Yarrowia lipolytica: one gene and its partner. The protein of the gene in region 2 purifies or fractionates together with the protein of the main gene of each other region. This does not show direct contact. Links are inferred from orthologs where the notes say so. Each region holds a gene or a part of one and is shown on either strand. Other genes may lie near its edges.

Region 1 (10,199 bases), on a different chromosome or scaffold from region 2:
GAGAGTACCCCGAAGCCTCGGGACCCATGATCGCGACCATGCTGGCGGTTCTGTGCGGTTCTATCGCCCTCGGTATCGGTCTCCTGCGTCTTGGTTTCATTCTCGAGTTCATTCCCGCCCCCGCAGTCATGGGCTTTATGACCGGTTCTGCCATCAACATTGTCACTGGTCAGGTTCCCGCTCTCATGGGTATCGACAAGCTCTTCAACACAAAGGACGCCACTTATATGGTAATCATCAACTCGCTTAAGAACCTGAAGCACTCCAACTACAACGCCGCCTTTGGAGTCGTCGCGCTGTTCATCCTCTACCTCATCAAGTACTCATGCCAGTACCTGTCCAAGAAGTTCCCCAAGTACAAGAAGGTGTTTTTCTACATTGAAATCATGAGATCCGCGCTCATCATCATTTTTGGTACACTCATTTCTTGGGCTGTCTGCCACCCTCACAAGAAATCTGGCAAGTTCCCCATTTCTATTATCAAGACTGTGCCTCGAGGTCTCATTCACACCGGTGTCATGAAGGTCGACACTATTTACATGTCCAAGATGGCCTCTGAGCTGCCCGTCTCTACCGTTGTTCTTCTGCTTGAGCACATCGCCATTTCCAAGTCCTTTGGCCGTGTCAACGACTACAAGATTTCTCCCGACCAGGAGCTCATTGCTATTGGTGTTACCAACCTGGTTGGAACCTTCTTCAACGCCTACCCCGCCACCGGTTCCTTCTCTCGATCTGCCCTTAAGGCAAAGTGTGGTGTGCGAACACCTCTTGCCGGTATTTACACTGGTGTTGTTGTGCTCATTGCTCTGTACGCCCTCAACACTGTCTTCTACTGGATCCCCAATGCCGTTCTTTCTGCCATCATCATTCACGCTGTGTTTGACTTGGTGGCACATCCTCGACAGCTCTTCCACTTCTGGAAAATTGCCCCCATCGATGCAGTCATCTTCTTCGTTGCAATTATCCTCACAGTCTTTGTCACCATCGAGGCTGGTATCTATTTTGCTGTCGCTGCATCTCTCGTCTGGCTGCTTCTCAAGGTCGCCTTCCCTGCCGGAGACCTCATGGGCAAGATTGAGATTGTCGACGTCGAAGATCCTCTCATTGTCCAGCAGACTGCCGATGTCGAAGAGATTGCTGCTGCCGAGGCTGCCCGAAACACTAAGCTCGGCAAAGTCAAGGGACTTATCAGCAAGGCTGGAAAGCTCATTGAGGACGGTCCTGTTGTTGACGCAGATGTCCAGCATGGTTTGCCTCTTCTGGCTCCTCAGGAGGTGGAGAAGTCGACCACTGCAGCAGCTCTGTCTCATGTGCCCCGACGAACCGTCTGGGTGCCTCTGTCTCGAAAGAACGTCAACCCAGACATCAAGATCTCGCCCCCCCGACCTGGAGTCATCGTCTACCGATTCACGGAAGCATTCACCTACCCCAACTGTTCTAGACAGACAGACAAGTTGGTGGATGTCATTCGAGAAAAGACTCGACGAGCCGAGGGAGTGCGATACAAGACTCTTGGAGAGCGGCCCTGGAACGACCATGGTCCTCGACATCCCAAGGAGAGCGAAACTGTCGATCTGCGGCCCATTCTAGAGAAGGTGGTGCTAGATTTCTCTGTCGTCTCTTCCACAGACTCTACTGGTATCCAGAACCTGGTAGATGCTCGAGGAGAGATCAACCGATATGTTGGCCGAGAAGTCGAGTTCCATTTCTCGGGTCTTCTGTCTCCCTGGGTCCGACGTGCTTTGGTGGGCTCTGGATTCGGAGGAGTGCCAAAGGGACAACACCTGAGCAACTACCAGGTGACTGCGGCCCGTAGAGCCACTGCCCTTGACCGACAGACTTTGCCCAATGACACTACCATGGTGATCGAGGGCGATTCTCTGTCCAACGACTCGGATGAAGAGTACGCAAAAAAGAAGCCGTTCGATGAGGAAGAAGCCATTGGAGGTCTGGACACCAAGAGCGTGTCTTCTTCTTCTCAGGACGACAAGGAGTTTGGAGGCTACATCCCCGTGGTGTCCACCGACACTCCTTTTTTCCATTTGGACATTCCTGACTTGTAAGGATTATCATTGGATCATCATGGGAAGACTAACTATTTATTGCATTAATCAAAAGTATTGGTATAGACTGAGTCACATTGTAAAAGAATGAGTTTTGGGGAGTAGAGAGGATGGATATGTAAACCGAACCAAAAAAACGACAATAGGAATATACCCGGATTTTTGCTATGAACGGGCTTGAAGTTATGAAGAGCGATATAGATGATTTATGAATTGTTTTTGATTGTTTTGATTTTGGGGAACACATTTTCGTTAAATTCAAAATTAGAGACGAAATTCGAAAAAAATCTACACATGTGTGTTTGACAATTTTAAGATGTCATATTATTCCAATGATGAAGAAAAAGTCAACTAATAAATGATGATCTGAATACATCTTGTAACTTTTATGTCTGTTCTGGTGTTTTTTTTTTTTTATTATTTTTTTAAAATTTCATTTTTAATCTCTGATGGCATTTGTTTGCCTACAAGTAGTGACAACATACTGCAAGAGTATCGTACATCGGTTCATCTTCTTAGCCCCGCAAAATAAGCTCTGTTGAGTCAGCAAAGAGCAATTATCTCAAATGGATCGGAGTGGTTCCAGTAGAGTCCGTACAAGTACAACTCAGTGCCATCTTCAGATACACACTTCGAAATCTTTAATGACGGCTTCTCATTGATACAGCCCCGAAGATGACTCATCACCTGGCTTACTAACTCCCGGAAAATACTGTCATGTGGAGTTAAAACCAGGCAGTGAGAAGGCAAAATTTACACTTATCGAAGCGTCACAAGGACATGGAGTTGAGATATATGACTCTCCGACGGTTGAAGTTTTGCATATTAAAAATATTCCTCTGATAGGAATTTCACTTTGGAAGACCCTGGGAAAATTCTGAGTCGTTTACAATTATCCTCGATTTAATAGGAAATGATACAGTTTTTTTGTTTAACTTCTTTTATCGTCCAACATTGCATATGCATCTTGTTACATTCCAAACAAAAGTGTATTACCAGTTGTGGAGAGCGGTTGTACAGGACCTTCCTTTTCACAGGAAACCCCTCTAAAATCGGCTACAAATTGCACACAAACCACCATGCTGCCGCCCGAGTTGGTGAACATCCTGCTGGAGCATCTGGATCTCTATTCGCTTGTTTCTCTGGCTCAAACGTGCCAGTCTTGGAACTCTGCCATCACAGAAGCCGAGTATCGGTACATGCTGCTCAAGAGCTGTCCCTTCTACCAGCTTGACAACTCGAACAGACTTAGCTGGAGAGATTGTGCAACGGAGTACCTGCGCCGAAACCGACTCAACAGTCCCAAGGTGGATAGCTCTATCATTCAACAACTATGTCCAAACACAACCATCGCAGTCAGACAAGATGAACTGCTGCCGCCACATTATTACTCTTTGTGTAAAATGCAAGCTGCGACTCGGGATGGGTGGCATGATGATGTGGCCCTACGACATACCGACAGCGGGTTCAGCTTCCAGGGCGCCTTCGTGTCACTAAAGGGAAGTGAGGGGGTTACCAACGAAGATTACCACTACGACAACGGAACTATATCCAGCAGATTTGGTATCAAAATGGGATTCCAGAGAGGACAAAGACAGCATGCCATTCTGGCAATCAAAACCAACACTAAATGCATCGCTGCCATCGTTTGCTATGAGCCAAGCGAATACCGCATTTTGGTTAAGTACATTGACAGCCATGGCATTGCGCCAAATATTGATTTTGGAGAGAACACTGACGATTGGCTTTACTCTGTCGGCTTCTGTCCTTCAACCCTCACTTCTTTCGACCTGTTTCTGGTCGAGTCTTGCATCTTTGTGTATGTCCAGCAACAAGGACATACCGGAGCTCTTCTGGCTCTGAACAATGGAGTGATGGAACGGGTGCTATTCAATGACAAGTACATGCTCACGTCAACACCTGAGATGTTGTGTGTGTTTGATGGCAAAATTGCCATGGCTGGAAAACATGTCATGCCTGAATTCATGCGGTACTTGTTCAACAGGACACCCGTGCACGCTACAAATATCAGCCAGGATCCCGTCTACAGTAACTATGTTGGCCTATACAATGCGGCTGGAAGTATGACCCATTTAATTGACTTTGCCACTCAGAGTATTGTTGATATCACTGCGTTCTACTACACGTCTCTTCAGGCTGGCTTCCTGGCACTTCCTGGATTAGTAGATGGGCAGCTGGTTGTATACAGATACTCACAGCAGTTTCTGCTGACGCATTTTGGTGAGCAAGTTGACGTTCAGGTCATGATGACTAAGATTAATTGTCTGGTTGATGCCCCCGAGTCGATGCTGTTGCCCCATGTACCTCAGACGAGGGTTCCAGCTAGGTCCAGAGCCGTTAATAGGCACAAGACGCGCCGAAGAGTGGTGGTATAAAGAGGAGGAGGCTTATTTATATATATTTATTGTCCCGAGTAATGAGATATGATTTATGAGTTCGGTGGTGGTTGAAAGGGCTTTCAAGATGAAACTGTAGATGAGGGGGGTGATAACTGGTGCTGTTCTTACTAGGCTGATCTAGTTAACTACCTGTACACCTCCTGTACACACAACTGTGGAGAGTTCTTACCGCTGACTATGTTGCCATGCTACAGAATGCACCGTGTGTACTGCAGTACTTGCAACTTCTACAGATGTATAATACTCGTAGCCTCAAATACTTCATAATGTATTATACAATGCGTTGATGCAATATATCCTCCGTCTTCTACTTTCTGACAATTCCCTTCATGCGTTTCTTCATCTTGACAACAGGCTTGGATACCTTCTTCACCGAGGCATCCACCTTTGCCACCTCCACTCTCTTGATCTTCTCACCTTGCGCGTTCCTAAACACCTCCTTAGCCATCTCATCATCACGCAAATCCTGTTCAGATACGCCACTTTCCTTGTCATCTCTCTTTCTCAGCTCTTCCAGCACATCCACATCTCGTCCAATCTTGTTAAGACGAGCAGTACGTTCCTTGAGCTCTTCGAGCCGTTCAATTCCCTCCTGCTCATCAATGTTGGCCTTCTGCCTTGCCTCTATCTCTGCCATGACGTCTCCATCTGTAGAAACTGCGGTTCCTAGCTTTGACGGATCAGGCATAGCCTTTCCCTGTTTCTTGAGCTCCTCCAGCTCCTTCTCTTCCTTTTCCAGCCGGTCCAGCCGCTCGTCCAGAGTCTCCTCCACCTTCTTTTCGTCTCTCCAGGGTTCGTAGTTTCGTACAGCTCCATACTCGGTCTGATAGTCTGAGTTCTTGGGGTCAGTCTTGAATCTGATCTCACCTGAACATCTAGGACATCGGATAAAGAAGCGAATGATCTTCACGTCAAGATACACCTCGTCAGTCACCTGTTTGCGAGCGTTGAACTTTTTGCTCTTATAAATATATTCTCCACAGGCGGTACATCGCATGGAGAAAGGCACCATGAGCCGTACAGTGGGCATGGTGGCCGATTTGGAGTCAGACACTTTCTTAGCACGCCGCTCCAGCTTGCTGGGATCAAAGTCGGGCGGATAGTATTTGTTTATTCCTTTTCGATCCGACATTTTGTGCTGATGATGATGTGATGAAGGGTAAAAGAGCCTGCTGATTTTCTGTACGAGTATGTACAGAAACTTTATCAGAAACCTGTCAAGGAGAGAGTACGATCCGATGTGCGTCTCAAGGGGGTGTGTCGGAGAGACCGCGGAGGTGTGTAACTTGAGCTGAGGGTATCAACAATGAAAAAAAACTTAGCTGGAAACTCTTTTGAGCTGATCCGTGTAGTATTGAGTGACTACAAGTAGAAAGGTGATGTTGAATCTCACCCTCATATACTTAACTGGTTGTCCCACTTACTACTTGACCTCACTAAGTTATTCATATTTTTACTTCATTTACAGTAGTCTTCGTAGCTCTCCCAAATGATAGCTAAGTACAGCAGCACAACCCGGCCACTAAAACGAGAGTCCGAGAACATCCCAATTTGGCGTCACGTGATCTTTCCCTACACCATGTATAGAGCGGATCGCGGAACTCAAAAAGCGGTTCCTTGGCGTGACAAACATGGCACCGCCGCTATTGTGCGAGTAATGGAGTGTACTGTATGTACCAGTATCGTACACTTCTATAGGCGGTTGTCTTGGCTAACACGTGTGACGCTAGAACTAATTGGAATGGGGATTGCGACGTGTTTACGATGTGGTTTTGGCGTGTATTATGGGCTTACAAGACAAGGCACTTTTTCGCGAGGCTCATTTATGCCGGGTTGAGTGTTTTGAAATTGATCGTATTTTCCTCGATTTTCTCTTGAATTTCCGCCACCTCCACCTCTCTGAGATACAGTAGGGTGGTACAGATGCTCACATACGCTTAATTGAGTTGTCGCTAATATAGCTTAAAGAGGGATAGTTTTCTGAGAATATTTCCAATAAATCGAATAAAAACGCTAGCGGAAAATCAAGACAATGGAAGGGTTGGATTCTTTTCTCTCTACAATTTCAAAATCAATAATTTTCCTGCCAAGATACAGGAGCCGCAATTTCAGCACTCGTACAAACGTCCGCATAGATTTACCTATTTGGTAACCTTTTTTTTTTTCTCTTGGGGGAGGGGGACGACAGAAAAACGTACACCGCCCCATGTGGTCAGCCCCTATTATACACCCGGTTACAGGTTTTACAGTGGCAGCTTTTTTTTTTAACGTGCTGGCCGTTACTACCGGGTGATGATGCGTACTAGTAATGTTCTTTTGCTGCCGTACAGGCTGGGCGACTGCTTGCGTCGCGGGTCTCGCTTATTAATCGACACGTGCAAGAGCTGATGCCCTGTCTCTCGCACATGGCTTAATCAGTCCTCTCTCCCCCACCAATATAGGCCCTTCAAATGCCTCAGTGTGCACTTGCTTTGGAAACGCAAAGGTGCTAAATTCAAAAAGAAGGTTGTTCTTGGAGGATTTGCGCAGCGTCAGAAGAGATGGCCTCTTGTTTGAGAGCCACCAGCAGCCGCGAAACCATCATTTATGCAGCTGGCACAGATACGAACATGATCAAAATGTAAGAGGTACGGCTGAGGGGAGTGGTGCCAAAAGTACAGGTTAGCTGGTTAGCAGCTATTGTACGTATGGGTCTTTTAGACTACTTCAGCCGTGTATGAGGGCACTAGAAGGAGAAGGAGAGAAGCATTAGTTTGGGCGGCATGAGTGGCCCCTTCACACATTAGCGACAATAGATGGATACCATATACGACGAGTGCAAGTACTACTCTTACTACCATAGTCTCGTCGACCAATCTGGGGGGTTGGAAGTCTATTGCTTATGTGCATTCAGAACAACAAGGAGCTTGTGTGTGAATCGGATGCCTCTTGTCTGGAGTGTGTCGTCGCTGTCAAAGCAACATGTGGGACGTGCCAAGGAGTAATTACGACTTGAAAGGGGTCGATAAAAGGAATGGAAAGGGAGTTATTTTTTCACCAAGCGAGGTCTTGGTTTTAGCGACCCGTGAAGTTGGTCCACTAGCAGGCTCTGGTGGTGTACCTCATCCAGAGTCTGTTTGGTGACCACCTCCCCCATTCAAGGTTCAAGAGTTGCACGAAAAAAAGCTTTGGCCAAGCTCTTCAGTATTAATAGCTGCATATACCCAGCACCCAGATTGGTGGAACCGACTTTTGACCTGACCTGTTCAACATCAGCCCGAAAAAAGTAACATCGAAAAAAAACAAAAAACAGAGACGGTATAAATCTCGACCTCTTCAACCCCCTCATAACCCACTACTCTCTCCTGGGGTTGTCTCAGGCCATTCTGTGTTCCCACAGGTTCACTTTTTGCTCTCTTCTCTCTCGACACACTCCACAAGACATGTTCATAGTGGACTACGCTAAACGAGCGTACCGCAAGCTGCGACACTTTCGCATCACCTTCATCGTCGTGCACTACTTCATCATCATTGGCTCGGCCATTTTCGGCACTTTTCTATTCTACCCCGCCAAAACTACAAAATACATCGATGCCCTGTTTCAGTGTGCCTGCGCTGCGACACAGGCAGGCCTCAACACCGTCGATCTCAACTCGCTCAAGCTGTGGCAGCAGATGGTGCTCTACTGCATTTCCATGTGGACGAATCCGATTGTGATTCACTCAGGAGTCGTGTTTATGCGTCTGCACTGGTTCGAGAAATCGTTCAAGGACATCAAGAACCAGTCCAAACTGCAGTCAAAGCTGCGAAGAACAGCCACGACGTTAGCTCGACAAGACACACTCGAGAACGGACTGTTTCAACGCCCTCCTCTGCGACACCAGAACCCAGGAGTGGCCGGCCTGAACAGCAACATCAACAACGACAGTAGCGACGAAACGCCTCACAAGGAAGGTCACAACAACGACAACCCCAACCTCAACAAGGAAATCACATTCGGAAATCTACCGCAGCCAAAACGAACGCACTCCGTTGAGCCTGAAGATATGTACCGGTCCATCAACTTGCTGTCCCATGAACACCCTGAAGGACAGAGTGATAGTGATGACGACGGACCTGCTCTGGTCATCAGAGGCCCTCGTGACCGCCCTGACCGAGACGACGACGAAGAGGACTCACCTGAGATCGAGAGAGCTCCACGAGCAATTTCGTTCTCGACTCAGGAACACCCACGTGCTCAGAAGTCTGCTCTGGAACAGTTCAAGGAGGAAATGCGTGAGTCACAACGACAACTGGACGCTGAGCATGCTATTGATGAGGGTGAGTCGTCAGACGCTACCCAGCCCACCTCCATCAAGCGAGAAGACATGTATTACCGACAGCATCCGGATTCCGACTCTTCAGAAGGAGATACGGTGAAAAAGGTGCGTTCCAACGTGACCGTTCACAGACCGTCTCCTGAAGATGACGACTTTGCCGGCACCCAACCCATGAACCGACGTGCATTTACCCTTGACGGCGACAACACTGAAGAGAAGAACCATGAAGGAGCCTTTGCACACTTTAAACGGTCTCTTACATTTGATCGGTTTCTTTCTAATCGACGACGCGGCTCAGACGCCGCTTCTTCCAGTGGTGCCACCTCCAACGCCGATCTCAACAAGACCATGTCGTCCAACTACCTGTCTTGGAGTCCCACAGTTGGTCGTAACTCTGCATTTGTTGATCTGACAGAGGAGCAAAAGGAGGAGCTGGGAGGAATCGAGTATCGGGCTCTCAAGGTACTGTCCAAGGTGCTGGTTGCCTACTTCGTCGGCTTCCATCTCATGTGCGCCATCATGCTGCTGCCCTGGGCCATCTACATGCCCAAGTACAGAGACTACGTGTACTCGTGTGGAGTGACGCCGACGTGGTGGGCATTTTTCACCGCTCAGTCGACCTTCAACGATGTGGGTTTCACTCTAACCCCGGACTCCATGGGATCTTATCAGGAAGCCATTTATGTTCTGTTGACCATGTCCTTCTTCATTGTCATCGGTAACACGGGCTTCCCTGTTCTACTTCGGTTCATCATCTGGATCATGTTCAAGCTCTCACCTCGAGACTCCTCACTCAAGGAGTGTACCGGTTTCCTGCTTGATCATCCTCGACGATGTTTCACCATGCTGTTCCCTTCCACTGCCACCTGGTGGTTGTTTGCAACACTGGTGATTCTGAACTCTGTCGACCTCGTCTTCTTCATCATTCTGGACTTCAACGCACCTGCAGTCACCGAGATGAGGCCCGGTTACAGGGTTGTATCAGGCTTGTTCCAGGCCTTCTCTACTCGAACAGCCGGTTTCACCTCTGTCTCTATTGCCGAACTCCATCCGTCCATCCAGGTATCGTACATGATCATGATGTACATTGCCATTCTGCCCATTGCCATCTCGATTCGACGAACTAACGTTTACGAGGAACAGTCTCTGGGTATTTATGGAGGGGGAGACGAAGAGAGTGAGTACGACCAGGCCCCTACGGCTGATGAGGAGGCAGAGAACGAGGAGAACGACCCCGAGCATCTCTACAAGGGCAAGAAGAAGAAGCATCCGTCGTATGTCACAGCCCACCTGCGTGCCCAGCTTGGTTACGATTTGTGGTACATCTTCTTAGGGCTCTTTATTATCTGTATCTGTGAAGGCACCAAGATCAAGGACGTTACGGATCTCGGTTTTACTGGCTTCACTGTGCTTTTCGA
Region 2 (10,622 bases):
CTAACAATCGAATGGAAGGCAGATATGTTACCACTACACCAACAGCCCAGAATTAATTTAAATATTGTTAGAACCCAGGGCCTCAGGACTTGGGCTCCCAACCAGTACTTACTGGAGAAGCTCGGTAGTTAGTAGTCGAAGTGTCAGAACAATTGTTGGTGCATTATAATATAGGAAATAGGGCAAGTTATATAATCTCAGGATCGGCGTCCGCAACTTCCGGAACTCCTCCAGTTCCGGACGGGCAGTGCTCTCCAAGCGGCGTAGTGCGTAGGTTATCCGCTAGATCATATTGGACCAATATTGGACCAATATCCACTAACCTTTGTTAAACGGTCAAGTACAAAGGCAGACAACCATGGACAAGTAGAACAGAGAGTTCAGACTATTGGACACTCACAAGGAAACAACAGTCACACAAGAGCACGAATAGCCGCGGTGACGGATCGAGTATCACTAACCTCCAGTATCAGGTTTAGCCGCGGCCGATTAGCCGCCGAACCCTAACAAATATGTAACGACTCAGAAGCTAGTCATAAGGTGTTACGATTAGTCATGCCATTAGCATAAAAAAACCTTAGCAGTAATGAATCATTAGTAAAAAAATGCCTTGGCAAGTGACTGGACGATGATGACGTTCTACGGACGTCATGAGTGTGTCATTATGGATGAATATTTCGGTATCGCTTGGCTAGGTCGCGTGGATGACGTGCTTTACAGAGTTAGGGTTGAGATACCTGTATATATAGCCACTACTCGCAAGTATGTAAGTAAGTTATGTTTATACAACTTCTGGAGCTCGTACCTAGGGCGTTGAGGATTGACCCATCATCGATCCGTTACAGAATGAGAAGAGAAACGATCTTTACTAAGATCCTGACTGCTTAGTCATCCTTTGAATCATTAGAATAAAAAGAGACGATTGAAAGCCACTAACCCGGGTTACTACAAGTAGGTATATATAGCTGTAATTTATCATTAGAATTAAAAAAAAAAAAAACTAAAAAATGGATCCGTTGAATAAATATGATTGTCCTTCCTTAGGAAATGTATTTCCCTATATATATCGGACATTCCCACCCACACTGACTCTGTGTTGCCCTATAATTTTCACCCCATTTTTTACCACCCCCTTTCTTCATTTTTTCCCCCATCTACTTCCCCCAACCACCCCGCTTTTGGTCCTCCCCGAAGGCTCATACCCATCGATTATGACACCCCAAGGACTATTCGCCCGTGACTCACCAGCACCTGTCTTATGAGGTCCACACTGCCTCCCTGACTCTTGGACTTCACATTTAGTACCGGACACATGCCACCGCCCTCCCCCCCAAGCTAACACTTTACCACGCCTGCCTCACATTACCAGTTACACGTCTTTCTGCATACCCCGTCGTACGTCTACATGTCTACATCACTACAACGTCTTCACCCACCAAATGGTCATCCGACACCGTCTTCACGTCCACCACGACTTTATTTTCACCGGTCTTTCCCGTACCCTGACTACTCGTAGCTCTGATAACCAGTCGCACTGACCATTTACCCCATACCCCCGAACAAGTCACCCGGGCCCTCGTCGAAAAGATCAAGCGTCATACAGACCATGCAATCAATTATGTTATAAAAAAGGCTTATTAAGGTCAGAAGTCGAGTTAAACCGTACTGTAGGGCACAGGCAGTGCCTTGCTTTTATTGCAAGAATCAAGCTCTGTGGTAGTGTAGATACTACTGTAGTAATTGGAGTCAGCCAAAGATGTCAGAATCCCCTCGATTGAATCAAACCATCTTAAAAGGAGGAGTGCGCTCAAATTTCAACACTTTATCCATTGAGCGTGCTTCTAGCACCAGTGCTAAAGCTTTGGGAAACGTTGATCTTCCCACGTTGTTTATCAGTGAGCTTGTATCGAGTAGGGTCAGTTGTGTTCCATCGTAGAATGACGGTACATACTGTAGTCAGTTCTCTGTAGATATTTGTGCCGTAAGGTTAAGGGCACTACAACTATGTATTCTACAGCACTCAAACTATAGATTGCAACTACTTGTATATACCCTTAGCTAGGTCCCATAGAAGTACATACGTGATCAGGCGTAAGTGGTGCACCATTAAGCGAGACTATATACCACACACCCTTGTGATGAAGATATGGAAATGGAAAGAAGTTACAATAAATTAAATTGCCTCCCGTTTACGTTTACTTTTTTATATTCCAGGGAAATACATTTTAGGTACAGTATGTACTTGTATCTTGTATCTCTTACGGTACATATGACTGTAGTTAAAGATTATAAACAATGATAAATCCGCAAATCTGATGACTAGGTTTCAGGTTTCCAGACGAGCATAGGGCAATACTTCTTGCGGTATTTCTCTGGTTCAGTTGTTTTTGTTTTTGTTTTTGTTTTTGTTTTTGTTTTTGTTTTTGTTTTTGTTTTTGTTTTTGTTTTTTGTTTTTGTTTTTTGTTTTTGTTTTTGTTTTTTTTTTTGTTTTGGTTTTTTTTTTTAATTTTTTTTATTCTAATTGATTCTGATTATATAAGCCAAATGCTACCAATACTGTTCCTACAATATAGCTCACAAAAAAAAACTCTGAGGACGTGGCGTAATGGTAGCGCATTGGATTTCGGTTCTTCAGAACGACGTCCTCCAAAGGCTGCGGGTTCGAGTCCTGTCGTCCTCTCTTTTTTGTCCCCCTGCCCCACTGGGTTCCATTTTGTGTCTTTATTGCCTTCTCATCCATTGTGATGGTTAGTTACAGTATGTACACGGTATACTGCAAATACCGTTACTCTTTGTTTCGTGGCTACCCGGTTCCATACGGTAACGTCTTTTAAGTAGGCTATCCTTTATAATACATTAAATACACACAAGCAATGCACTCAGCATTACTCTTCTACCTTGGCCTTGGTCTTCTTTTTCTTCTTAAGAGCCTTGAGAGCACTAAGAGAGCTCTTGTTGAACATGCCTGTATCAGTGGATACGGGAGCAGCAGGCTCAGGGGCAGGTTCAATCTGCTTGACCTCTTCAGCAGGCTCAGCTCCAGCCTCCTTCTGATTGTTCATGATTCTCTTCAGTTTCTCGCTGTCATCTTCTTCGTAACCCTCCAGCAATGGCTTGCTCTTCTTAGCTCGACCTTCGAGCTCATCCACGTACTCCTGAGGCAACAGCCGCTTAATAGCCTCGGCGGCATTCTCTTCCAGTCGTCGCTGTTCACGTGCCTGAGCCAAAGGATCGGGATCCTGTGTCGCCCATCGTACGTTAAGAACCTCTCCACTATCCAGACTCTGGTGAGCCATGGCCTCCTTAGCAAACTGCGCATTCACTTCTGTGGCGTATGTCACAAATGCAACGCCCTTGTCATGCAAAACTCGAATGCGGTCAACGTCTCCCCATTCAGAAAAGTGTCTCGAGACAATCTCATCCAGAGCACCTGCTTTGGCAGCATCACTCACATGGATACGACCTACATATAGAGTTCGGTTGACTCTACTGATCGAACCAATACCCCCCATATCATCTCTGTAGTCAAAGAACCGGTCCCGACCAAAACAATCAGTCGTAGGACTAAACATGTCGGTCAACACAGGAAGACGATGCAGAAACTCACACTTGTGCCCTTGAGTACACAGACCCCGGGCAAAATACAGGCAAAAGTAGGATCCCGGTACCTTGTCTGCCCGGGTGTATCCTGAGTCACGGGCTATGCTACATCGTCCATCTGCTTTCTTCTGGTTGAACTTTTCATCCTCCTTGTCTCCTCCACTCCACTTGTTGAACCAGATATTATAGACGGTTCCTGTCTGTGGAGGTCTGTCATCAGTGTTGACCGAGTCGGGGTCCACCTGGATCCGTGCTTTCCGAGTATGGTATAATGCAGGATCTTTGGTTCTCTTCTTCTTAGATTTCGTTTTGACCACCTGAGCTTCTGTGGGTGCTTCTGTTTGTACTACCTCGACACCTTGGTTCTGTACGCTTTCTGCGACGTCTGGTGTAACCACTGGCGAGGTTTCGATAGATTCCGGAGCCTCAGACATGGTGGGTATTTGTTGTGGCGGGCGGGCGGTAGTGGTGCAAGTGGTGATGATTGCCGGAGGAGCATATTTAGAAGTGTAATATATTCTGAGGCTATTTTGCTTTGAGTTTGTTGTGGAAGCGTACCATTTTACTTGATGGAAAAATTAGTGAGAACCGCGGTGATCGGTGGAGGAGTCATGAAGTCAAGTGGATCCTAGCAAGAGTTGTTTTCCAGCCGAAATTTACAGGTAACAGCAGTTATAAACATCTATGGTCGCCTCTTGTACAGTTATCCATATTTGTCCCATTATCCAGCACACGATTCCAGACGCATCAATTAGTTTGGACTTAAACACATCCCAATATGCACACCTTGGATGAACATCGCCACCATCGCGTCTAACTTCTCATCACATCTCACCCAAACATAACACCATGAAAGAAGACCAGCCGATAGGTTCGGGATATCTGTCCCGCGACGTCAGTGTGATCAGCGAGCTGGTACGCACACTGTCTACGCGTCTTACTAACCAGCATGAGTCGTCGGAAAAGCTCGAGGAAACTGCAGCTTCAATTCTCGAGATTGAAGAGAAGCAGCTGCAGGAACTGCTGGTGGAGCTGGGACGTGATGAGTCGGAGTTTAAAAGCGAGAGCGACGAGCCGGATACCACACTGCCCATGTCGGTGCTAATAGCCCGAGAAAACGTGGAGCTCGAACAACAATTACAACGCCTCCAGTTTGTTGGGGGCAAGTCACAAGAGCTGCTCAAGCAGTATATGCGGGCAATGGAGGAGATTGTGGGAGACTCGCAGATCTATGCCGCCGACATGGACCATGCTGCAAGCCAGATTAAAAAGTCATACAAGGAGCATGAGTGCCAGGCTGAATCACGAAAACAAGAATTGCTGGAGGAGAGCAAAGAGCTGAAACAGAAACTTCTACAGGTGAGGAAGCTAGTGAGTAAAGCACAGATAGGCTTCCATGAAGACGACTGATACTAACAGTGTGTGCACACTTTTGCATGGGGGTACCAATTGTCAGAATATATGGAAGAACAGCGACTTGGGACGCGTTTGGTGAGATGGAAGCATGTATTGCATTAATGTACTTACGGAAGACAGAAGTTCGGGAGCCCTAACGACATACACGTCGTGTTTGTTTATTTGTAGCATACATGGAGCTACCAAAACCTATTATACTGTATGTCGAGATAGAGCGTCTCATCCTTCATGACGGATGACGGAAGCTAGACACATACTAGACACTGGACAATAAAGACAAATAAGATGGTCATGTAGTCACTAAGATCATGCTTTGGAGTAGTCCCCACACGGCTAATTGAAGAATTAAGTCATTCCTGAGGGAACAACAGATGGGGTTTTTCAAAGATTTCGATCTCAAATTGTCATATGTGACCTCCGAAATTAAAACCCGGGTTTCTTGGTCTAGTTGGTCATGGCATCTGCTTAACACGCAGAACGTCGGCAGTTCGATCCTGCCAGAAATCATTTTTGCAACTCCAATGAGCTAGGAGTTTCTGCTCTCAGGCATTTTGCAATGTGCTGTGTTGCGTGGTGAGTCTTACACCGACACTTTTTGCAAAAATTTAGAATATTGAAAGGAGATTAAACCAGCAGAGATTTATTGCTGATGTATGTGTATGTATGTGTATGTAATATGCTTTGAGGACATTGAGAATATTCCCGACTACTTTCATCCCCGTTATATCTACAGGACCGTACACTAGAAATAACAACTTCAATCTACTAAAATGCTACTCAGCCAATATCTCAGATTATTCGTTTGTTACGCTAAAGATGGGTTTCATTCATTCGTTCACACTTTAAATGTGCCCTATTTCTTCACCTCAAGCAAGCTATACACATCATTTCGTCTCTGGTCCCACAGAGGCATATTGGTCCTGACCTTCTTCAGCTGCTCTAGGTTGATATCGGCAACAATAACTGCAGCCGAAGAGTCTATGTCGCTGGCCTCGGCAAGAACAGTTCCCCAGGGGTCAATTATCATGGCGTGTCCGTAGCTTTCTCGCTTGCCGTCCTCTGTGTGTTTTCCAACCAGCGCTGGCATCATGACATAGCATTGGGTATCGATAGCACGAGCTCGGGCAAGAACGTGCCAGTGGGCGGCGCCAGTTCTGACTGTAAACGCCGAGGGAAATTGCAGAATCTGGGCGCCTTGCTTTCTCAACAACAATGCCAGCTCAGGAAACCGGATATCATAACAAATAGCAGGTCCAACTGTTCCCACTGGGGTCTCGAACGGCTTGGGAAGTTCAGACCCGGGCTCTACTGACTTTGATTCCTGCAGAATAGGACCGTTGGGCACCTCCACGTCGAAGAGATGCACTTTTTGGTATCTGTTGACAATGTCTCCGTTGGAATCAAGCCACAATAGGGTGTTTCTGACCCGGTCAGAAGAAGAGGACAGCTCATGAACTCCTACTGAGACCTCAATTCCAGACATTCCGCTCTGTTTGATTTCCTTTTGAGCCTCCCTGATTGCTGCGATCATGGGCGAATTTTCAGCATTTCGTGCAAGACTCAACCCTTCCTTAGGCGAGCCAGAAATGTAGTCGGAGGCTTCAGGGAGGAACAGAGCCTGGGCGCCCAGGGCTGCTGCTCTATGGACTAGTCCTGCAACAATAGAGGCATTGTGAGTAAGTGAATTGGTTGCACAAAATTGGCCGACTGCTGCGAGAGTCATGACGGGATGGTGGAATGGGGAAGTGAGTGGTTCGAGAAGGAAGAAAGATAAAGTATGATAAGAGAAGATGCATATTGGGACTGGTCTTGATTTGTGATGTTACTGTAGCCAACAGTACAAGTGTGTAGGCAAGGGTCGGAATGCGCCATTCACTTCAGAGGATATCCATTCTAGTCAAATATTGATGTTCCAGATATATTCCGTCTCTGAAGTTGGAGCAGTTTCATTACAGTCCCTCCAACTCTACCAATTCTGTAGTGTGGCTTGGTGTAAGGCCGAATTGCAGTTTTCTTTTTTTTTTTAGTGAAACTGGATTGAATAAAAGATGATTATGGTATGTACTGTACTCTGATGTTAGATACCCTTTTGGTTCTGTGGAACTCATACCCCAATTCGATTATTTGGGGGGGGGCTGTTCTGTGGAAATTCATATTCTGAACACTAATTTTCACGTCTTTTGAATCGCACAATTAGTCAGCCCAATGTAGGTCTACTTGCAATGCTCTAAACGAAGGGCCAAAGTCTAATTCCACCTTTGAAAAGTCCAAGTTCAATCTCACTGCCGCCATTCAGCCACTTGGACCTCCAGTTACCATGCGCTGGAACCTTCCACTCCCGAAGTGAGGCTTTATCGGGTCTACAACAACACAACACTGAAAAGACAGACTTGTGGGCTGCAGGTTAACTATAATGTTCGGACTTGACGAGGAGGAGCTAAACACGACCGTGGAGAAGGATGTTGAAGTGGTATCTACAAGGCATTTTAATCAATATATGAATACTGATAACAATTTTTGACGTGAATACCTCTTTTATTGCCCTCAAATAAGTCTTTTCAGCCAGAAATCACGTTCGACCCAATGCCCGGAGTGCATGAATGATCAACTTTATTCCCGAACATCTAACATTCTTCTTCAGCTACACTCTCCAACCACACAACAATGGATGAAGACGTTCTCGACACTCCCCGAGATGGAATCTACATTCCCTCGGCTCTGCTGATAATGGGAATGGGCATTCTGGCCTACTACTTGGAAAATCCTCTGATTTTCGTCGGAGGAATCTTCATCACTCTGGGCCTGGCTGGTCTCAAGCTCTACCGAGGATCGGGCTCGACTCTCTTCCGGGGCCAGAACGATCTCAATGATCTCGAGAAGGAGGATCCCGAGTTCCTCACCGCTCACTCAAAGCTTAAGCTTTACGAAATGGCTGTTTCCGAGAAGGTGCTGATCAACAATGACACCTCTATCTACACCATCGATCTGCCCTCTCCCCGAGACACTTTGGGCATCAAGCCCGGCCAGCAGATTGGTGTTCGAATTGAGTGGGACACCAAGGTTGCTGGAGGAGCCGGGGTTGCCATCAAGCATTTTTACCCGATTCAGATCCGACCTGGATCTTTTGACATTGTCGTTCGGCACAACCGAACCCCTCTTAACCTGCAGTACAAACACAACAACGTGGGAGGCAGTGAGGACATGGTCGGTCGATATCTTGATGGAATGAAGGTCAACCAGCACGTCAAGGTCATTGGCCCCATTGGCAAGCCCTACTACACCCACAACATGGTTAAGGAGCTGCTCATGGTCTGCAGAGACACTGGCATCCAGGCCATGCTGCCCATCATCAACGAGATTATCTACACTCCCGAGGATCTCACTTGGATCAACCTGATCTGGGAGACTGAGACTGCTGATGCCGCTTTTGTCCACGACGATCTGGCTGAGATTGCCCGTGTGTACCCTCGAATCAAGATCCGACATGTTATCACTGGCCCCGGACAAGTCTCTGAAGAGACCCCTGCCTCCACGTACGATGGTCGTCTGGGCTACTCGTTTGGCTCTCCCATCTCTGAGAAGCATGTCAACGAGCTACACGACTCCAAGCTCGAATACGACGAGTCCCTAGTGATCGTTTCTGGAAAGAACCCTGATGATTCCCTTCATCTTTCCACCGAGGCAGGCAAGACCGGCCTTCGAGCTATTGTTGTTTAAAATGTACCACGTAATGATATCATATTTGAAAAAAGAGAGCCTGGATCTACAAGTTATACCTGTATAGTATGGATATTACCATGTCCATTTTAATAAAATTCGTTTGAACAAGAGATGGCCATACATGTAACAAGATAAAAAAATTGAAATTGATTTTTGAAAGGTTGGGGTCGGCTATTGGGGAATTTGAAGTTTCAGTTATAAAAAATTGGTGCCGCACTATCGTCTGGTAATGTTTTAATATTTGTCCCCTGCTGGTTCTTGTGCAATGACAGGTGGCAATTTTGAGAACTACTGTGTGTTACCAGTGCCACCATTGGAGTCCTTGTAGCTATCGCACTGTATCGTACTGCCAACTCTGCTACAGTAATTACTCTGCATAAAACTGCCACTGAATAAGCTCTTCTTCATTGGGAGATATAACCTTATTCTTTCCACTCACTCGTCGCGAAATGACTCAATGAGACTGGATAGATCAAGTGATGGGTCTGTTATGATGATATTTTCCAGGTGTAAAGTCGTTAAGTCTATACAACTGTGAAAAATAAACCACCCCTGGTCTCGGTTCACCCCAAACACAGACCCTAACCTTTACAAAGTGACATTTTCTTAATAAGCAAGCCCCTAACCCTGAAACTTGCGAAAGTGAAAAAAAGTTGCCTGTAGTCAACCATCCACCCCACCCAAAACACACATCAAACAACTATGTCCTGGCTATTCGGAAAGAAGAAAGAGGAACAGCCCAAGGTTGAGGAGGTCAGGGAGGTGACCTTCGACCTGGACCCTAACGCCAACTCCGCCGCCTCTTTCCTCAACGCTGATCTCGACACCACAAAGCTGCATCCCATGGCTGGTCTCGATGCCGGCATGGAGTACTTCACTCTCGAGGGCAATGAGACCATTTACTACGATGGTCTGCTTCCGTCTCGAGGATGGAACGATGACCTGTGTTACGGAACCGGCGTTCTGTACCTCTCTGGTCTCGGTGTCGGAGGTTTCTCGGGTCTAATGGAAGGTCTGCGAACAGTCCAGGAGGGCGCACCAGCCAAAATCAAAATCAACCACGTTCTTAACACAATCACCAAGCGAGGTCCCTTCCTTGGTAACTCCATGGGTGTTCTGGGATTTTTTTACAACATCATCAACTCCAAGATTCTCTACGACATCCGAGGTAAGCACGACTCCTTCAACTCTATTGCTGCTGGAGCCATTGCCGGAGCCATTTTCCGTGCCCCTCGAGGAACCAAACCTATGCTCATTGCTTCTGGTATCACCGCTGCCGGAGCCGGTGTTTGGTGTGTATTTAAGCAGGCTGTTTTCGGTCCTCCTGCTGAGAAGACTCCTCTTGAGTAAACTCGATAAGAGGTACATTGTACATACGCGGGCGGTTGTTCGAAGAGTAAGGCGACTTCCCTAAAATATATGAGTAACGAGATAATTCGTGTAGATATGTGCACATCATTTGTAGTTCAGGTATTTGAGAGTCCAGGTGCTGAGTATTCTCAACTACTCGAGACAAGTAGTACAAGCACAAGTACAACTAATGGACACAGACAAAAGATCAAGCAAACAGCTGGTATTGTACTTGTAGTCGACTCAGAACTTTTCCGAACATCAATACCTCACTTCAGAACTACAGGTGGATCCATAACTCTGAAGAGCCCCAAAAAGGATATTGTCCAGGAGAGAAGACAAATCGAAGTTATATTATATCTGAGCCTATTATTAAGATATTATCTGGTATAGTACTATATCACCCATTCAATGTGTCCCTATACTCGTGCCGTAGGGCCTGGTTTGCAATTATGATCCTCAGTTTTCATGCATGCTGCATCATGTGGAACATTATAGAACCACCAAACATGAACCTCGGAACTTTGCAGTCTGA

What was found. Proteins that work in one complex are often made in the same cells at the same time.
Region 1: the proteins of YALI1_F36706g (region 2) and YALI1_B23176g purify together in Saccharomyces cerevisiae (affinity purification with mass spectrometry; 4 studies listed by BioGRID). This does not show direct contact. The link is inferred for Yarrowia lipolytica from reciprocal best matches to the Saccharomyces cerevisiae genes CWC2 and YJU2.

What each region holds. Positions count from the first base shown.
Region 1 is NC_090771.1:2,313,022-2,323,220, reverse strand, and holds YALI1_B23176g (uncharacterized protein), read right to left. Parts: upstream 5,616-10,199; coding exon 4,791-5,615; downstream 1-4,790. Other genes in the region: YALI1_B23237g (uncharacterized protein), read left to right, coding at 1-2,063; YALI1_B23201g (uncharacterized protein), read left to right, coding at 3,143-4,459; YALI1_B23153g (uncharacterized protein), read left to right, coding at 7,906-10,199. UniProt on the Saccharomyces cerevisiae protein: Part of the spliceosome which catalyzes two sequential transesterification reactions, first the excision of the non-coding intron from pre-mRNA and then the ligation of the coding exons to form the mature mRNA.
Region 2 is NC_090775.1:3,666,609-3,677,230, forward strand, and holds YALI1_F36706g (uncharacterized protein), read right to left. Parts: upstream 4,036-10,622; coding exon 2,887-4,035; downstream 1-2,886. Other genes in the region: YALI1_F36678g (uncharacterized protein), read left to right, coding at 1,212-1,253, 1,303-1,506; YALI1_F36710g (uncharacterized protein), read left to right, coding at 4,451-5,011; YALI1_F36733g (uncharacterized protein), read right to left, coding at 5,871-6,740; YALI1_F36742g (uncharacterized protein), read left to right, coding at 7,682-8,734; YALI1_F36760g (uncharacterized protein), read left to right, coding at 9,440-10,087. UniProt on the Saccharomyces cerevisiae protein: Involved in the first step of pre-mRNA splicing. Required for cell growth and cell cycle control. Plays a role in the levels of the U1, U4, U5 and U6 snRNAs and the maintenance of the U4/U6 snRNA complex.